Linked DNA regions of Xenopus tropicalis. The protein of the gene in region 1 purifies or fractionates together with the protein of each later gene. This does not show direct contact. Links are inferred from orthologs where the notes say so. Each region holds a gene or a part of one and is shown on either strand. Other genes may lie near its edges. The genes, in order: cops9 and cul4b.

The links.
Region 2: the proteins of cops9 (region 1) and cul4b purify together in Homo sapiens (affinity purification with mass spectrometry; 3 studies listed by BioGRID and IntAct, with this or other methods). This does not show direct contact. The link is inferred for Xenopus tropicalis from reciprocal best matches to the Homo sapiens genes COPS9 and CUL4B.

The regions. Positions count from the first base shown.
Region 1 is NC_030681.2:127,440,043-127,449,332, forward strand, and holds the start of cops9 (COP9 signalosome complex subunit 9), read left to right. Parts: upstream 1-3,790; 5' UTR 3,791-3,881; coding exon 3,882-3,944; intron 3,945-9,003; coding exon 9,004-9,076; intron 9,077-9,169; coding exon 9,170-9,207; 3' UTR 9,208-9,290.
Region 2 is NC_030684.2:46,088,649-46,098,004, reverse strand, and holds the start of cul4b (cullin-4B), read left to right. Parts: upstream 1-3,529; 5' UTR 3,530-3,721; coding exon 3,722-4,133; intron 4,134-9,356.

The DNA.
Region 1 (9,290 bases):
TCAAATGGCTGCAGCTGAGGCCTGAAGGGATTACAGAAATCTATAATGGCTCATATATATATATATATATATATATATATGGATTTATTTGACTTCCTTGTAATTTACGTAACCAAACAGTATTAGAGGTCTTTCTAGTGTTGTATTTGATCTATGCCTTCTGAAAAAGATCTTCCAATTCACATTGAGGAGAAACAAGAAGGCAGTTAGAAGGCAACACAAATAGTTTCAAGGGGCAGAAGTTCATGTAGAAGTCAATGGTAGATGTCCCTTTTACAACTGATCTTTGTTTGCTTCATGATTTTAGAGTTTTGCTGGGTTTTTTATGCTGGCTTTTATACAAAACAAAAAAGTTGGGTTTTCATTCAGCAAACGAAAAAGTCACAATTTTGCACATCTTCCATGTCTTTTTTCATTTGTGCTTTGTCAATTAGAGAAACTTTTGATAAATTACTCACAATTGTGAAATGGGTTTAGTCATGGTTTACAAAAACTATAAAACCATAAAAATACAAATTTTAATAAACCCCCCCATGTTTTTCCATTGGCGATTTACATTAGTCAGAGGTTTGTCACCTACAGGAGTTTAAGTGTGGGGCAACTAATCTTGTTTGTCCCTGGCCTTATGGTGATTTAGTGTTTGTAGTCATTTCCATGGCCTGGTATGAAACTGCTTGTCAGGCAACTGTGGCATCTCCACTTCATTTAAGGCCTTGAGACAACTAAGTCAGCAATGGAGCAAGTAAAAATTGCCTTGTCTGACAATGTCCTAAAAGGCTTAGAATAATAGTTACCCCCCCCCCACCCTGTGGTCAATATCTCAGTGATAAAATCATCTAATATATAAGAATATCAATATAATCCATGCCTATTATTTCCTGACACAGACAGATTTCTTCCTGCCTGCGACAAATCTCCTCTCAAGGCAACTTCCGCGACTCAGGGAAATTGCGGTGCCGCGTATGCCATCCACGGCGATTTACATTTTCGCCAGTGGGATGACATTTTGGGGAGATTAGTCGCCTGCGTCAAGGAAGATTTGTCGCGGGCGACTAATCTCCCCGTGTGCCAGAGCCCTTATACTAGTATTCCTTAAATTAAAGTGTATTTTTTCCAACGTTAATGAATTTGTATAGGTTGGCCAGGTTTATCTATTAAGACTGTTGATCAGAAATATGGTAATAACCAACCCACCCCTGAGGTTCCCTCTCATATTCTCTCAATTTTCTCAGATCAAGCATATAATTAAAGGAGACATATCCTATAAAAAATTATGAATGTACCAGTGAATTATACTCCTCTAGATATAGAAGGATTGTGCTTAAAAAGTTGTGTTTCAGACTGATTTATTGAGAAATTCCACAAAGACCCCACTAGCCCCGCCCATCTGTTCCACTTCCTGCTGGCTGAATTCTCTGGATGAGCTGGGGGGCCGGCGGCCCTCAGTACACTGCACTGTAGGATAGGAACCAATCAGCAGCTAGGCTGACCTGATAGGGAACAGAAGCCTGTCTTTGCTTGTGTGAGTACAGGGCTGTGATTGGCTATCCCCCTCCTACTGTGTTTCTGGCAGGGACCGTTAGGACACGCCCACTCTTCATTTCACACTGGACGGAGAAGTGAGAGGATCTATAGGGAGCTCCAATAAAGGGGCCATTGTTATCGATAGGATTAATTTTGAGCACAAATGGAAACCAGCACCGTATATTATTCATAATTGCCTACAAAATTAGGGTTTTCCCATTTATCCAATATGTCTCCTTTAAGAAATTGTTATTCTTTGGGCTGACTCATTTTTAAATAAAATAATGGATTTGTTGCTGTTGCTTATCAAGGACACTTGGAAACATATCACCCAGTTTATTGAAAGGCGAGAACAAAGAATGAATCTACACGGTTAAGACACAAATGTATGCTGACATGTAGAGCTACACACTGTATCACATGTGCATCTGTCAGTGACTCCTGTCTGAAGTTTGTCAAGATGCAGCAGAAGGAGACAATTTTTAAGCCAAATTAAGTTGCTAAAAATAGACCATTCTATAATATACTAAAAGTTGAATTAATTATGAAATAACTCTTTAAAGGAATAGTGTAAACAAAATATAAGTATTTAATTATAAACCTGGGTTTCTAACCTGTTAGGACTAAAAAAAATGGACGCTTTTGCTATTAAGTATAAATCGCCAGCCATGGTCCCCTTTCATACAGTAAAACTTCCCTTTGCATTAAAGTGGACCTGTCACCCAGACATGAAAAGCTGTATAATAAAAACCCTTTTCAAATTAAACATGAAACCCAAAATCATTTGTTTATTACCACATCCATACCCATTATAAAAGCATTTAAGAATCCCAGCTGTCAATCATATATTGCCAGTTACTTTCACTTTGAATTCAGAACTTCTTAGATGTTGCTGCCCTCCTCACATTCCTCCTCCTTCCTAACCATGTAATTTTGTAACCAGTGCATGGATATGGGCATCGGGTTCCCCCCACACTGGCACAGAAATAAGATTTTAGCAGGATGCAATGCCTGCTTTGATAACAAAACACCACAAAATGGCCCCTGCCTACTTGCTGCAATTGTAAATTCCAATACTGAAGAAAATAAGATTTGAATAATTTATATGGTGTAAGTAAAGTTTACTTTGCTTGACAAACACAATAGAAAACAATTTAGAATTATTTCTTAAGGTGACAGGTCCCCTTTAATATCACAGATCTAAAATTTTAAAAATAAATAAAAACCATTAATTCTAAGCCAAATCCTGGGTAGTGTAGCCTATTTTAGACTTAATCCAGGTCTATCAACAATTTATTGTTGCCCTTTGGGCAAGGGTAAATTTATTTTCTGATACTAAAAAAACACAGCAGTCCTCTTTATACCAGCAACTGAGGAAATACAGTTGTTTCACAAGCCACAAAACAGCCTTAACTAACAATTATGATGCAGGGAACATGGGAATGCCCCTCTGGCCCTCCTTTATGATATAGTGGTCCCTGAAGGACAATATTAATATTTAGCAGGTCACAATGAATGTACTGAAGTCACTGTAATCTGGTAAAATAGTGAAATAGTCTATCAATACACCCCTCCTACCCTACAAAGGCTGACACCTATACCCACTAAGATAGGCACTATAATCAAAATAAACCTAGGTTATGGCCAGTTTTTTGTGTAAGGAAGGAAGGCTGTAAGTGTAACCAACAGAGCTGCCAGGAACAAGAGGTAACTAGCTTCCTGCTATGGAACGCTTTATGTGTAAGCTGAGCAACCTATTAGTGAATTACTATATGACTATGCATATTGTGTATTTTCCCACACAGCTAAGGATCCATAGATGCATGGGGTGAATGCCCAATAACATCATAGAAAATGAGAGCTGTGTCACCCAAACGGTAGTTCAATATCAGCTTATGAGACATATTTTGTACAGTGCCAGTTTATACTATATTTTTTACACTCCAGGTGCCATTTAGCACATCCATAGGAAAGTCTGTCTAAAGCCTACGGCTGCCGGCTAGCCCAGTGTAAGCAAACGGGGATCCTACCCAAAGAGAGAAATTATAAGGTAAACCCTTTCACCAGACAGAAAAGCAGACAGGGCATTCATATTGTTTTATATTCACACATGCAGTGAGTCACTTCTATACACAGCCTTCCACCAACACAAGTCAAATCCACCCACTGCGCTACCGCCTTCCCTGCCTAGTAGAACTCGCCAACCCGCTTATTGCGCTTCCCCGTCCCTCTCTGTCACTTCCGCCCTACTAGCGTCACGTACGTCACATCACGTGGTGTGCGTGTATAAGCCTGTGCGCTGTACCGTCCGGCAGTGAGCGGTTCTACTAAACTACTGCTACAGTGGAAGTGGCGAAATGAAGCCGGCTGTGGACGAGATGTTCCCAGAGGGAGCTGGCCCTTATGTGGATTTAGATGAGGTGACGTAGGAGCGGCAGTGCGCATTACTATCCCGCTAGGGGCTTGTGGCGGAGTACAAATAGCGCAGATTTTTAGTGAGTGCGTTTGTAGGACCATAAAGATGTGCGCGGTGTTAGTGTGAATAGCTTTATGTGGGTACACAAACTGTGATTATGATATCATTTAGTACGGGGAAGAACCCATATAGCAATTGACTTCATAGACTTATGCGCTTGATCAGAAATCGGCTTTTTGTGCGCAAAAAATCCAAATGCACAAATGCTCCATGTCTCTGGCCCACAGGAGGAAACATGGAGCCAGAAACATGGAGCAGGTTAGTGCATAGAGATCCCACAGGGCCAGAGACATGGAGCAGGTTAGTGCATAGAGATCCCACAGGGCCAGAAACATGGAGCAGGTTAGTGCATAGAGATCCCACAGGGCCAGAAACATGGAGCAGGTTAGTGCATAGAGATCCCACAGGGCCAGAGACATGGAGCAGGTTAGTGCATAGAGATCCCACAGGGCCAGAGGGATGGAGCAGGTTAGTGCATAGAGATCCCACAGGGCCAGAGACATGGAGCAGGTTAGTGCATAGAGATCCCACAGGGCCAGAAACATGGAGCAGGTTAGTGCATAGAGATCCCACAGGGCCAGAGACATGGAGCAGGTTAGTGCATAGAGATCCCACAGGGCCAGAAACATGGAGCAGGTTAGTGCATAGAGATCCCACAGGGCCAGAGGGATGGAGCAGGTTAGTGCATAGAGATCCCACAGGGCCAGAGACATGGAGCAGGTTAGTGCATAGAGATCCCACAGGGCCAGAAACATGGAGCAGGTTAGTGCATAGAGATCCCACAGGGCCAGAGACATGGAGCAGGTTAGTGCATAGAGATCCCACAGGGCCAGAAACATGGAGCAGGTTAGTGCATAGAGATCCCACAGGGCCAGAGACATGGAGCAGGTTAGTGCATAGAGATCCCACAGGGCCAGAGACATGGAGCAGGTTAGTGCATAGAGATCCCACAGGGCCAGAGACATGGAGCAGGTTAGTGCATAGAGATCCCACAGGGCCAGAAACATGGAGCAGGTTAGTGCATAGAGATCCCACAGGGCCAGAGACATGGAGCAGGTTAGTGCATAGAGATCCCACAGGGCCAGTAACATGGAGCAGGTTAGTGCATAGAGATCCCACAGGGCCAGAGACATGGAGCAGGTTAGTGCATAGAGATCCCACAGGGCCAGAGACATGGAGCAGGTTAGTGCATAGAGATCCCACAGGGCCAGAAACATGGAGCAGGTTAGTGCATAGAGATCCCACAGGGCCAGAGACATGGAGCAGGTTAGTGCATAGAGATCCCACAGGGCCAGAGACATGGAGCAGGTTAGTGCATAGAGATCCCACAGGGCCAGAGACATGGAGCAGGTTAGTGCATAGAGATCCCACAGGGCCAGAGACATGGAGCAGGTTAGTGCATAGAGATCCCACAGGGCCAGAGACATGGAGCAGGTTAGTGCATAGAGATCCCACAGGGCCAGAGACATGGAGCAGGTTAGTGCATAGAGATCCCACAGGGCCAGAGACATGGAGCAGGTTAGTGCATAGAGATCCCACAGGGCCAGAGACATGGAGCAGGTTAGTGCATAGAGATCCCACAGGGCCAGAAACATGGAGCAGGTTAGTGCATAGAGATCCCACAGGGCCAGTAACATGGAGCAGGTTAGTGCATAGAGATCCCACAGGGCCAGAAACATGGAGCAGGTTAGTGCATAGAGATCCCACAGGGCCAGTAACATGGAGCAGGTTAGTGCATAGAGATCCCACAGGGCCAGAAACATGGAGCAGGTTAGTGCATAGAGATCCCACAGGGCCAGAAACATGGAGCAGGTTAGTGCATAGAGATCCCACAGGGCCAGAGGGATGGAGCAGGTTAGTGCATAGAGATCCCACAGGGCCAGAGGGATGGAGCAGGTTAGTGCATAGAGATCCCACAGGGCCAGAAACATGGAGCAGGTTAGTGCATAGAGATCCCACAGGGCCAGAGGGATGGAGCAGGTTAGTGCATAGAGATCCCACAGGGCCAGAGGGATGGAGCAGGTTAGTGCATAGAGATCCCACAGGGCCAGAAACATGGAGCAGGTTAGTGCATAGAGATCCCACAGGGCCAGAGGGATGGAGCAGGTTAGTGCATAGAGATCCCACAGGGCCAGAAACATGGAGCAGGTTAGTGCATAGAGATCCCACAGGGCCAGAGACATGGAGCAGGTTAGTGCATAGAGATCCCACAGGGCCAGAGACATGGAGCAGGTTAGTGCATAGAGATCCCACAGGGCCAGAGACATGGAGCAGGTTAGTGCATAGAGATCCCACAGGGCCAGAGACATGGAGCAGGTTAGTGCATAGAGATCCCACAGGGCCAGAGACATGGAGCAGGTTAGTGCATAGAGATCCCACAGGGCCAGAAACATGGAGCAGGTTAGTGCATAGAGATCCCACAGGGCCAGTAACATGGAGCAGGTTAGTGCATAGAGATCCCACAGGGCCAGAAACATGGAGCAGGTTAGTGCATAGAGATCCCACAGGGCCAGTAACATGGAGCAGGTTAGTGCATAGAGATCCCACAGGGCCAGAAACATGGAGCAGGTTAGTGCATAGAGATCCCACAGGGCCAGAAACATGGAGCAGGTTAGTGCATAGAGATCCCACAGGGCCAGAGGGATGGAGCAGGTTAGTGCATAGAGATCCCACAGGGCCAGAGGGATGGAGCAGGTTAGTGCATAGAGATCCCACAGGGCCAGAAACATGGAGCAGGTTAGTGCATAGAGATCCCACAGGGCCAGAGGGATGGAGCAGGTTAGTGCATAGAGATCCCACAGGGCCAGAAACATGGAGCAGGTTAGTGCATAGAGATCCCACAGGGCCAGAGGGATGGAGCAGGTTAGTGCATAGAGATCCCACAGGGCCAGAAACATGGAGCAGGTTAGTGCATAGAGATCCCACAGGGCCAGAGACATGGAGCAGGTTAGTGCATAGAGATCCCACAGGGCCAGAGACATGGAGCAGGTTAGTGCATAGAGATCCCACAGGGCCAGAGACATGGAGCAAGTTAGTGCATAGAGATCCCACAGGGCTAGAGACATGGAGCAGGTTAGTGCATAGAGATCCACAGGGCCAGAAACATGGAGCAGGTTAGTGCATAGAGATCCCACAGAGACACAAACATGGAGCAGGTTAGTGCATAGAGATCCCACAGGGCCAGAGACATGGAGCAGGTTAGTGCATAGAGATCCCACAGGGCCAGAAACATGGAGCAGGTTAGTGCATAGAGATCCCACAGAGACACAAACATGGAGCAGGTTAGTGCATAGAGATCCCACAGGGCCAGAGACATGGAGCAGGTTAGTGCATAGAGATCCCACAGAGACACAAACATGGAGCAGGTTAGTGCATAGAGATCCCACAGGGCCAGAGGGATGGAGCAGGTTAGTGCATAGAGATCCCACAGGGCCAGAGGGATGGAGCAGGTTAGTGCATAGAGATCCCACAGGGCCAGAAACATGGAGCAGGTTAGTGCATAGAGATCCCACAGGGCCAGAGGGATGGAGCAGGTTAGTGCATAGAGATCCCACAGGGCCAGAAACATGGAGCAGGTTAGTGCATAGAGATCCCACAGGGCCAGAGACATGGAGCAGGTTAGTGCATAGAGATCCCACAGGGCCAGAGACATGGAGCAGGTTAGTGCATAGAGATCCCACAGGGCCAGAGACATGGAGCAAGTTAGTGCATAGAGATCCCACAGGGCTAGAGACATGGAGCAGGTTAGTGCATAGAGATCCCACAGGGCCAGAAACATGGAGCAGGTTAGTGCATAGAGATCCCACAGAGACACAAACATGGAGCAGGTTAGTGCATAGAGATCCCACAGGGCCAGAGACATGGAGCAGGTTAGTGCATAGAGATCCCACAGGGCCAGAAACATGGAGCAGGTTAGTGCATAGAGATCCCACAGAGACACAAACATGGAGCAGGTTAGTGCATAGAGATCCCACAGGGCCAGAGACATGGAGCAGGTTAGTGCATAGAGATCCCACAGAGACACAAACATGGAGCAGGTTAGTGCATAGAGATCCCACAGGGCCAGAGACAAGGAGCAGGTTAGTGCATAGAGATCCCACAGGGCCAGAAACATGGAGCAGGTTAGTGCATAGAGATCCCACAGAGACACAAACATGGAGCAGGTTAGTGCATAGAGATCCCACAGGGCCAGAGACAAGGAGCAGGTTAGTGCATAGAGATCCCACAGGGCCAGAAACATGGAGCAGGTTAGTGCATAGAGATCTGAAACTGCTCTAACCCGACTAACAAATGACCTCCTTTCGGCTAAAGCCAAAAAACACTACTCGCTACTAATACTTCTCGATCTCTCTGCTGCTTTTGACACTGTGGATCACCCTCTTCTCCTCCAGACTCTCCGCTCTCTTGGCCTTCGTGACACTGCCTTATCCTGGTTTTCATCTTATCTCTCAGATCGATCCTTCAGTGTCTCTTACAATGGGGAATCATCTTCTCCCTTGCCTCTTTCTTTCGGGGTTCCTCAAGGCTCTGTCCTGGGCCCCTTAATATTTTCTCTCTATACCTCCTCACTTGGCAAACTAATCAGTTCTTTTGGCTTTCAGTACCACCTCTATGCTGACGATACTCAGATCTATCTTTCCTCTCCTGATCTCAACCCAGAGCTTCAAACTTGCGTCTCTTCCTGCCTGTCCGCTATCTCCACTTGGATGTCCCAACGTTACCTTAAATTAAACCTCTCTAAAACTGAACTGGTTCTCTTTCCCCCATCCAACGCCCACATTGTTCCCGAGGTATCAATTCTACCATTACCCCATCTTCCCAGGCCCTTGGGGTTATCCTTGATTCTGCCCTGTCCTTCACTCCTCATATCCAATCGCTTATCAAATCATGTCACTTTCACCTAAGAAAAATCTCCCAAATCCATGCCAAGTTACTAGTGAGATTCCATACTTACGGCAGCATACAGTTTAATTCAGTAGTCTCTGTTTATTTTCCCCTTACAGGCAGGCGGAAGTACAGGCCTTTTAATGGATTTGGCAGCAAATGAAAAGGCGGTGCATGCAGATTTCTTTAATGGTGAGTGTACATTTGTAAGGCCGGTGTAGTTTTCTAATGCCACATTGGCGCAACAGAACAACCAAAAGACTTTATTTATGCCCTTTCTTTCAGATTTTGAAGATCTCTTTGATGATGAGGATATCCAGTAATATCCCAGACTGTTTACTGTGAAATGCCTCTCACTGCTTGTGCCCCATCTATGGGAAAATGTATAATTTTTTTGTATTTATAG
Region 2 (9,356 bases), on another chromosome or scaffold:
CAGGCAGATAAGCAGCTGATTTGGCCTGAAAGACTCAAATTGGCAGCTTAAATCTGCAGTGTATGGTCACCTTTATTTCATTGGATGCACATTTGCAAGGTCAGCGGTTTTAAAGAAAATGTATACCTTAAAAATATTAATGTAAAATAGCTCAGAACGCTCTTTCAAGCAATTAAACCGGTGTTAAACTGCTTATATAATAAAGTGTATTACAACTTTGCCACTTGCTGGTCAGTTTTTAGACTGCACTCTTTCAGAGAGGAATGTTCAGAAGGAAAAGAGACAACTGTTCAGATGTTGCCCTGTTTATAAGAGATCAGAAACCTCAAATAACTTCTTATGTCTTTTGTGAGCAGAGAAACATCTTTGCTTCTTTCTGAACATTTCTCCCCAACTGTACAGTCTGAAAACTGACTAGCAATGAAAAGCAACGCAATTGTTTTGAAACAAAAAAATGTTTTGTTTCGTTGGAAGGCTGCAGTTTGTGCAGCTCATCTCTCAAAACAATGTTAGTTTTCTAATAGTCATGGGAAATGACTGAAGATTTATTCTGCAGGGCTGCAGCCACATTCTACAAGGAACAGGAACTAGAAATTAAAAAGTTGTGTTTAAAGTGACAGTGACATCTTTGCATGTAGAAACAAATATTGCATAAAGTAGTCTAAGGAACCAAAGCCACTTCTATAGCCATGAATTACAATTCTACATCACTCTTTTTTATAGGAAATAACCATTGCTAAGAACACGGGGATAGACAAAAGAAAAGGTAAAATAGAAATATAAAAAATAGTGTCGCAGTTGGGGTAAATTTAACACACCCTGTGTGACACTGCACTCTTAGAAGTATTTAGCAGTAAGCTTTAAAAATGGCTGGCAATAGGTTCTCCCACAGCAATAAAATGTTCAGTTATAGGATGTGTAACTTTCATGGGATTAACGTTTAGTTGAAGCCTTTGAGGAAGTCCACGGGTCAAAACACGCCAGACTCAACGTAGAAATATTCACCCATTTTCTTTTTATTCCTATGGGATTTTTATAAGCAAATTTATCAAATGATGAACTCCAACTTTCAGCCATTGATAAACAAACTTCTAAAAAACCCGTATGAATGAATAGAAAGTGGGTGAATTTTTCTGTGGTGAGCTATATCATTTTACACTTTGATAAATCTGCCCCAATTATTTTTTTATTTTTGTTTCACTTTAAACTGAATGAATACAAATGTGAATACCCTAGAATTGTTGTTTTCAACAATGTCTAACAGAACTGTTACAAACAGTTTTACATAATATTCACTGAATGAAGAGGTCAGCAGAACCCGCAAAATTTTATGGTGCCAGATGATCATGTTCATCAGTCATGCAGAGATGACTGTGGATACAGGAGATAAGTAAAATTCAGTATTTGCAATCCAAAACTAAAAAAAGTTCTGGACCTAGGGCAGCATGATTTTAAGGGCAGCATGATTTTAAGGGCAGCATGCTTTTAAGGGCAGCATGCTTCCCAAGCCACATTTACTCTGGAAACTGGACAGGAGTGCAGGAAGATGCCAGAGGCACTTGGCAGGGGGAGTGAACAGTATAGGATGGAGCAAGATGAGGCTACAAGTGCCCCATCATCAAATTAATTACATTGGGGCATATACGTATAAGTTTATATAGCCATACTAGGATACGCAGTGCCGTACAATTTTACAATACAGAAAAGTACAACCAGGGAGAACAAGCATTATTGTAAATATCCAGCAATTAAGTACTATGTGGTACAAGACACAGTAGGGAAGTGGGTCCCTGCCATGTAGAGCTTATTGTCATCTATATCAATTGGTAACTTCTCATACAGCATACTTGTGTGTTAGCTCTTGTGAAATTTTGTAGCCCAGTTTGAAGTAGGCAGGGCTATAAGCTACCAGTAGCCAAAATTATTATTATTAACATTTATTTATAAAGCGCCAACATATTCCGCAGCGCTGTACAATAAGTGGGTTTCATACATTGGACATACAGAGTAACATATAAAGCAATCAATAACGGATACAAGAGGTGAAGAGGGCCCTGCCCAAAAGAGCTTACAATCTACAATGAGCATTAAAGTATACACAAGGCTCTTTAAGTTACCTGAAGGGGCTTTTTGCCGCCTCCAGTAACTTGCCAGGCAATACAGCCTAATGTGAGTTTCTCAACTCGCCTCATGGCAGCAACGCCCGTGAGTTCTACAAACACCTAGCTTCAACATTATTTGGGTATATATAGTTTATATTTGTAAGTGTATAGATTGGTCTATATAGGTATGTGTATTTTTGTGCACTGGGGTTTTTAGAGATGTTGAACTTGATAGGCTTTGGGCTTTTGTCAACCCAAATTAGTTATTTAGTTATATGTAACATCTCTATTAAGCTTTACCAGATGATTCATAAGTGCTTTATGCAGTGACCAGTGCTTGCATATCTGTTAAAAAAAAAAAACAATTGAATAGGGTCAAGTGCTGAAACTAAGTATGAGCATACACCTTTTGGTGTGCTTAACATGTGTTGTTTTTGCTGGTGTTATAACTTGTATGCAGGCTCACAAGCACATAGAGAACCCAGAATAGCTGCTTTATAAAAAAAAAACACATTCAGCCATTGCTTTCAGTCAGAATCTGGTATACAGCTGCGTAATCCAATGGGAAGCCTTACTCTCCCAGAGATTATTATATCACCCAAATTGACCACTTTGTATGATATAAGTTTATTTTAATCTGGCACTTAAATGAATAGTGGGGTTAATATATGTACTTTTCATCCCTGCTATACACGCCATTATACATTGCTTTCAGACACAAACTTCATGTTTGACGCTTACTGAGTAGTAGTACTGAGTAGTTACTGAGGAGCTTCCACAAGGAACTCATTTTAAGCGGGAAGCGTCACACGCAACTACTGGCGCTCTCCTTTATGTAACTATTCTAAGCCTCTCCGGCCCCCACGCTGCTGAACAGGCGGTACCATGTGGAGGCATCAGGGGGAAATGTCACCCAAACCAAGCTGATTATTGGTCCTTATTCCCTTTAGGCGTCACTACAGAGGCGGGAATATTCAACCCTCGACTCCTCCCCCTCGAGTAGTTTCCAGCCTCAGCCCCTTCCTTCCCCTTGTCGGGACTCCTCGCCGGCACCAACCTAAGGCGGAAGCTCGGCGAGGAGAAAGGGGACGGATGAGGCCCGCACGGTCGGGCATTATGAAAGACCTCATCGCTAGTCCTTCCGGTCAGTCAAAACAAGGTACGAAGGTTGCCATGACATCACAGTAGAATAAAAAGGGGAGGGGAGAGAGGGAACACAGCCAGCCTTTCGCGCTATAGTTAATGCAGTAAGCGCTACCCCTTTGGTTTTGATAGTTTGGCAGCAGCTGGCGTCAAAGGCTCCCTGACTGTCCCGGCTGGGAAGGGGTGTGGGCTCACGGCAGCCTCCTGGGGAACTCTTCCCAACATGCACTGCGAGAGGAAGTGAGGCCATCTTTGGTTCCCTGCTCTTGTGACAATAAACAAGAAAAAGAGTGGGGATATCCGGAGAGCGGGGCCGGGGCCTTCACCGAGCAGAACTAAAGCAGAGTGCCTGCCGAGGGGGCCACTGGGAAGCGCTAACCAAAGGGCCACGTTAGCTGTTTGTTGCGGTCCCCACACGATCCAGCGGTCACACACAGTCTGGGCTGCCTTGAATCTTTTCTATTTGTGGTGTTTTCATGTTTCCCACAGGCTTATCAACCCCCAACCCCCCGGCGCAGGAGGTAAGGACTGAGGGAAACAGCACCTCCAAAAAGAGAAGGTTGAATATCAGCAGCAGCGATAAGGACGATTTGGACCCCCTGTCGCCCCCCAGAAACTCCTCTTCCTCCTCTAACCACATCCAAAAGAAGCTGCGTTTTGAAGACACTTTGGACTTTCTAGGACTCGATGTGAAGATGGCCGAGGAGTCTCCTTCTTCTTCCTGCTCATCCTCCTCTACTCCCCAGGCAGTGAGGAGTAAAAACCTGCTCATCTCCCCAGTGGGCGTTGGGCATCATGCCAATGGCCTCACAAAAGCCTCACCCGTGTCCAGTTTTGCCAACAGCAAGCCTGGCTCAGCCAAGAAGTTAGTCATCAAGAACTTTAAAGGTAAAGAGGGATGGCACCATTCAATCAGCTCTTTGATAGGTCACTTCAGGGAGTGTAATACTTTGACCAGAATGTGCTTAAGGACCAGGTGATTACAAGGGTGCTCTGGTCAAAATAAAATCTCCTTTAATTTGGAATTCAGAAACTAGCATGCTGTCTTGTGTCACCCAGTAGTTTGGGGCAAACGTTTGCCTGTTTGGTTTTTTCATGATGGTAAAATTACAGTTTCCTTTTGGCGTTATTTTATTATGGTTGAATCTATCTGGAATGGCAGTTTTGACTTCTAAGGGCTTGTGTATTGATGCACTCCTAACCAGCATAAAGCCAAAGTGTTTTAAGCTGGTAATGCTTGATTCTTTCTATAGGGATCCGCAATATTTTGGAGCACTTAGGGGATTTGATGCTTGTTACAAGCATTCCTGTTTGACCCAACCAGATCTGTGTGTCAATACTAAGAGCGCTACAGTTAAGGGATATCTTCAATGCAAAGGCAATCTTTTCTATTAAAAAAAAAATCTTTGTCACAACCGATCTAAGCTGCAGTGTCAATATTCCTGTGGGACTCATTGGCCAAAGCCATTTTTTTTTTTTTTTTTAGTATCTCATGGGACCAGTGCCAAAACACTGAAAATCTTTCTTCAATGTCCACTTCCAGAATAATTTGAAAGTGAACACTGTTTATTTTAGGCATTTGTCTACACACAACACACAAATCATGCTGGTGTTAGTGAAGCAACATTCAGGACTAAACTACACGGGAGCTTTTGTAGGATGGTTTCAGATCAACAGAAAGCATCCTTGCCCTTAGGGCTCTGGCACACGGGGAGATTAGTCGCCCGCGACTAATCTCCCTGAAATGCCATCCCACCTGTGTCTCGGGCATACGGGGTGGCGCGATTTCAATGAAATCGCGCAGGTTTCCTCTCGAGGCAACTTGCGCAATTTCACTGAAATCACGCCGCCAGCGATTTACATTTTCGCAGGTGGGATGGCAATCTGGGGAGATTAGTCGACCGCGAACAGGGAGTTTTGTTGTGGGCGACTAATTTCCCCATGTGCCAGAGCCCTTAGACAATCTGCTAAATAACTGTTAAGGTGATAACTGCAACACTTTACACAGATTTGTGAGGCTATTCACCATTTACTAACATGGCTAATCAGAATCAGGTCAGGCTGGTTCATTTTGGGCCCACACAGAAGTGTGTTTGTTGACATTTGCAAACAGATTGTTTAGTGGTATCAATGTGGCTTCTGGCCCTGATCTCTTTAGGGCTCTGGCACATGGGGAGATTAGTTGCCCGCGACAAATCTCCCTGTTCGCGGGCGACTAATTTCCCCGAAATGCCATCCCACCGGCGAAAATGTAAATCGGGATGGCGCGATTTCAGTGAAATCACGGATGTTTCCTCAAGGCAATTTCCGCGATTTCACTGAAATTGCCCTGCCGCATATGCCATCCCACTGGCGATTTACATTTTCGGGGAGATTAGTCGCCCGCGAACAGGGAGATTTGTCGCGGGCGACTAATCTCCCCGTGTGCCAGAGGCCTTAGTGCAAAGTGGGGGAATTTAATAATTTCTAAGAAATTTCTATCAGTTATTGGTGCATGAGCATTATGCAAACTGCAATGCATGTGCACCAGTTGCTAAGTGGGGGGGGGGTAAACTAGGCTGGTGCCTAGGATGGCACATGACCAATATACAGCCCTGGGTATGCCCATAATAAATTTATATATAAAGGTTTAGCTGATGCAGCTAAAATAAGGTAGAAACTCAGGAAATTGTGCTGTTAGTTTGCCTTTAAAAAGTAGTAATTGTATGTAAAAAAAAAAAATTACTCTGTTTTGGCAAAAGACCTTACCAGCCTCTTCATTTTTTTGTACAACTGGTATTAAGTGCTTGTGATTTTTTCTGATATACTAATAGTACAACTAATCCTATATCAAACAGACACAATGCACACCTAAATTGTAGTACTGTTTCATATACAGGCTTGAAGTAGAAATGAAGGAATTCTCGGCAAAAGAACTTGTCTGCTCATACAGTATAAAGGAGCATTGCCACATTTATTGGTAAACGGTGATACAAAGAGCAACAATACACTGTTTACTGTTTACAAAGGAGTATTATGTATGTCTATGTATTTGCAGTGGCAAACCTCTGCAGCACCAAGGGATACTTGCGTTTTTTTTTCTGGCTTTTTATAGAGTGGTTGTTTTTTTATTCTGGGGTAATGGGAAAAAAATGTATTAAGTACACCTGTCAATGCCATTGAGACACTTCTGTAACTGACTAGGAAGCATCTTCATTCCTTGGGAGGCTACTGTCCCTATGACCTGCAAGGCAGATATGTTAGGACACACACAGGCAGCTGTTTAGCTTGCTAAGGGTGTCAGAAGTAACATGCTGTGGGATCATCTGCAACACAACCCTTTCTCTCTGAGTTCTAGTAACAGGTGAAACCTACTCAATCTCCACTACTTACTAGGACCACAGGTGGCTCTGCTGTGACATTGGCTTTATTTAAATTCTGCCTATAACAGCCAGTTATTAATTATGCCTGCAGCTATACTCAGCACTTAAAAACATTGCAGTTGTGTTTTTGCCAAGCTGTGAATTGCTAAGAATTATTTAGTAGCACCCACGTGAGTTGGAGCGGACATAATTACCTGCAGATCACAGCTAGTATCAGCCAGCAAAAGTGTACCTGTGTGTATAATCCTCTATAAAACAGTACTTGGTGTTATCGAGACTGAGCTTGCCCATGAAACTAATCCATCCTTTTTTTTTTTTTTTTTTTTTTTTTTTAACATATTTGGAATGTTGATGCCTGAAGCAGAAACTAATTCTAACTTCAACTGCAGCTAAAAAAAAACTGAACTGGAAAACTGCTCTCTAGGTGCTGTGAAATAAATTACTTTTTGCTTCAGTCGCCAGGTCTCTGTACAGGGTAAGAAGATGTTACACATGATGTGTTGCTGCTGTAAATTTCCCATGTGAAGTTGCTCAAAGTTCCACAGGTTACCTTGCATTTCAAACAGATGTATTAAAACGGCTCATGCTCTTGTTTTATGGCTTATAATCTCACCCTGTGCAATATCTGCTGCTCTTCCTGTATTATAGGAACTGATTGTGATCAGTTTCCAGGTTATTCATTTTCTCTTGAAAGTTTAACTGCGCGGTTGCTTCTTCTCCATAGAATGTGGGTAAATACGTTTCAGACCTTGCAGGACCTCTGCTTCTTGTAGTAGTGCTGTGGTTTCCCTTTAGGTACAGCGAAGTTAGATGCTGCTAACCAAAAGTAGTTTGGCTTCTCCAAAAGTAACACTGTTTTCAGGTATAAGAAAAATGTATTGACTATTACAGGTATGGGACCTGTTATCCAGATCACCATTCCTTAAGTGTACTAAAAATGTTTTAAACATTAACTAAAACCAATAGAATTGTTTTGCTTCCGCTAAGGATTAATCATATCTTATTACAGAGAAAAAGGAAATTGTTTTTAAAAAATAAAATCATTGATTAAAATGTCTGTGCAGGTATAGGATCCCTTATCCGGAAACCCATTATCCAGAAAGCTCCGAATTACAGAAAGCCTGTCTCCCATAGAATCCATTTTAATCCAATAGTTCAAATTTGTAAAATTGATTTCCTTTTTATCTGTAATAATAACACAGTACCTTGTATTTGATCCCAACTAAGATATAATTAATCCTATTGGGTTTAATTAATGTGATTTTGATTTTTTACTCGACTCATAAGCCATCCCACCTGCAATTTACATTCTTGCCGGCGGAATGGCATTGTGGGGAGATTAGTGGCCCGCAACATACCTTATGGTAAAGACCCCTTATCCAGAATTACCTTGGTCCCAAGCATTCTGGATAATGGGTCCTATACCTGTACTATTATTTATATATTCAAATAGTTTAAGCTAAAGCTCTTTACAGTCTGCGCTAGTGAAATTCTGCCACACTCTGCATTTCTCAGGAACCTCCTTTTGGGGGTATTTTGAAGGCAATTGTACCCTCTGGCACTCCGTAGTTCTACCAATATATATTAATAATCTTAGATAAATAGAAAGTGAAAATAGGCGAGACATGCTCTATTTAGTAAATGAAAGTGAAAATGAGTGAAAGTAGTATATTTGGTATTCAGAAAAGTGTAAGTAGCTTGCCATGGTAATGCTTGCAAGACTAAAGTAACATATATTTAGGTACGTAGTACTCTACCTGCTAGTGAGAGGCAATAATTAGCATCTACCTGTATTATCAACTGCTTCAAAACCAATGATCAGTCTTTGCTTCTAACATTTGGGACAGTCTGCTTAAGCTTTTGGAATATATCCATGCACAGTTACCCATAGACTTGCAAGACACCAACCAATTAAGCAATTCTAAAACAAGTGGATGAAAGGTTTAAAAACACCTGAAACGACCCCCCAATCAGCTATGGTACAAGGGCCCCTGTCTTCACTCTGGATATTAGCAAGTAAAAAACACTGTATTTGGCACATGCATAGTAGTCTTTCATATTTTATGTTATACTTATCAGACAGGTTTCTGGAGTGTCCCAAGATTTGATTCTGTTTCTCTGACATAATTCATTCACTTAGATGGAAACTCATTTATTTTTGCCATATAATTGATTTTGGTGCCCATAGCTCTTCAGTTTGTGCCATTATGCTCCCATAGGCTGCTAAACCAGAGTCTTTATAGCACCAGTTTTAGGTTAATATTAATCCAAAAGGTATAAACTTTTGTGTATGTGTGGCCCTTCAGAATAGTCTGTTTGTCCAATAAACCCCTGATTTGCCATTTTATATTCCAAATTTCCGATTTGCAATTAGCCTATCGGGAGTGGACTGCATTAATGCACTGATAAAGTATTCTTCTAACGTGGTCTTTTTAACCTGATCAATAGATATGTCTGATTTTGTTTTTTCCAGTCGGGCAGGCTGTCAGAGAAGCCCCATTCATGGGCCAGTAAGATGCTGACTCTGGAGGGGCTGAATTGGCAGTTTTTATCAACCCATGTATAGCCACCCAAAGTAAAAAATTATTGCTGTCCTGTCTTTATTGTCAGAGGCCAGAACATTTTTCCAATGCTACATCAAGTGGTTATACATGCACTTGTGAGCCAAGTTTTGCATTACAAAGGATGTAAACTCAAAAATAAATTTTTGCGTAATGAATGGAAATCTAATTAGAAGCAACTTTCCACT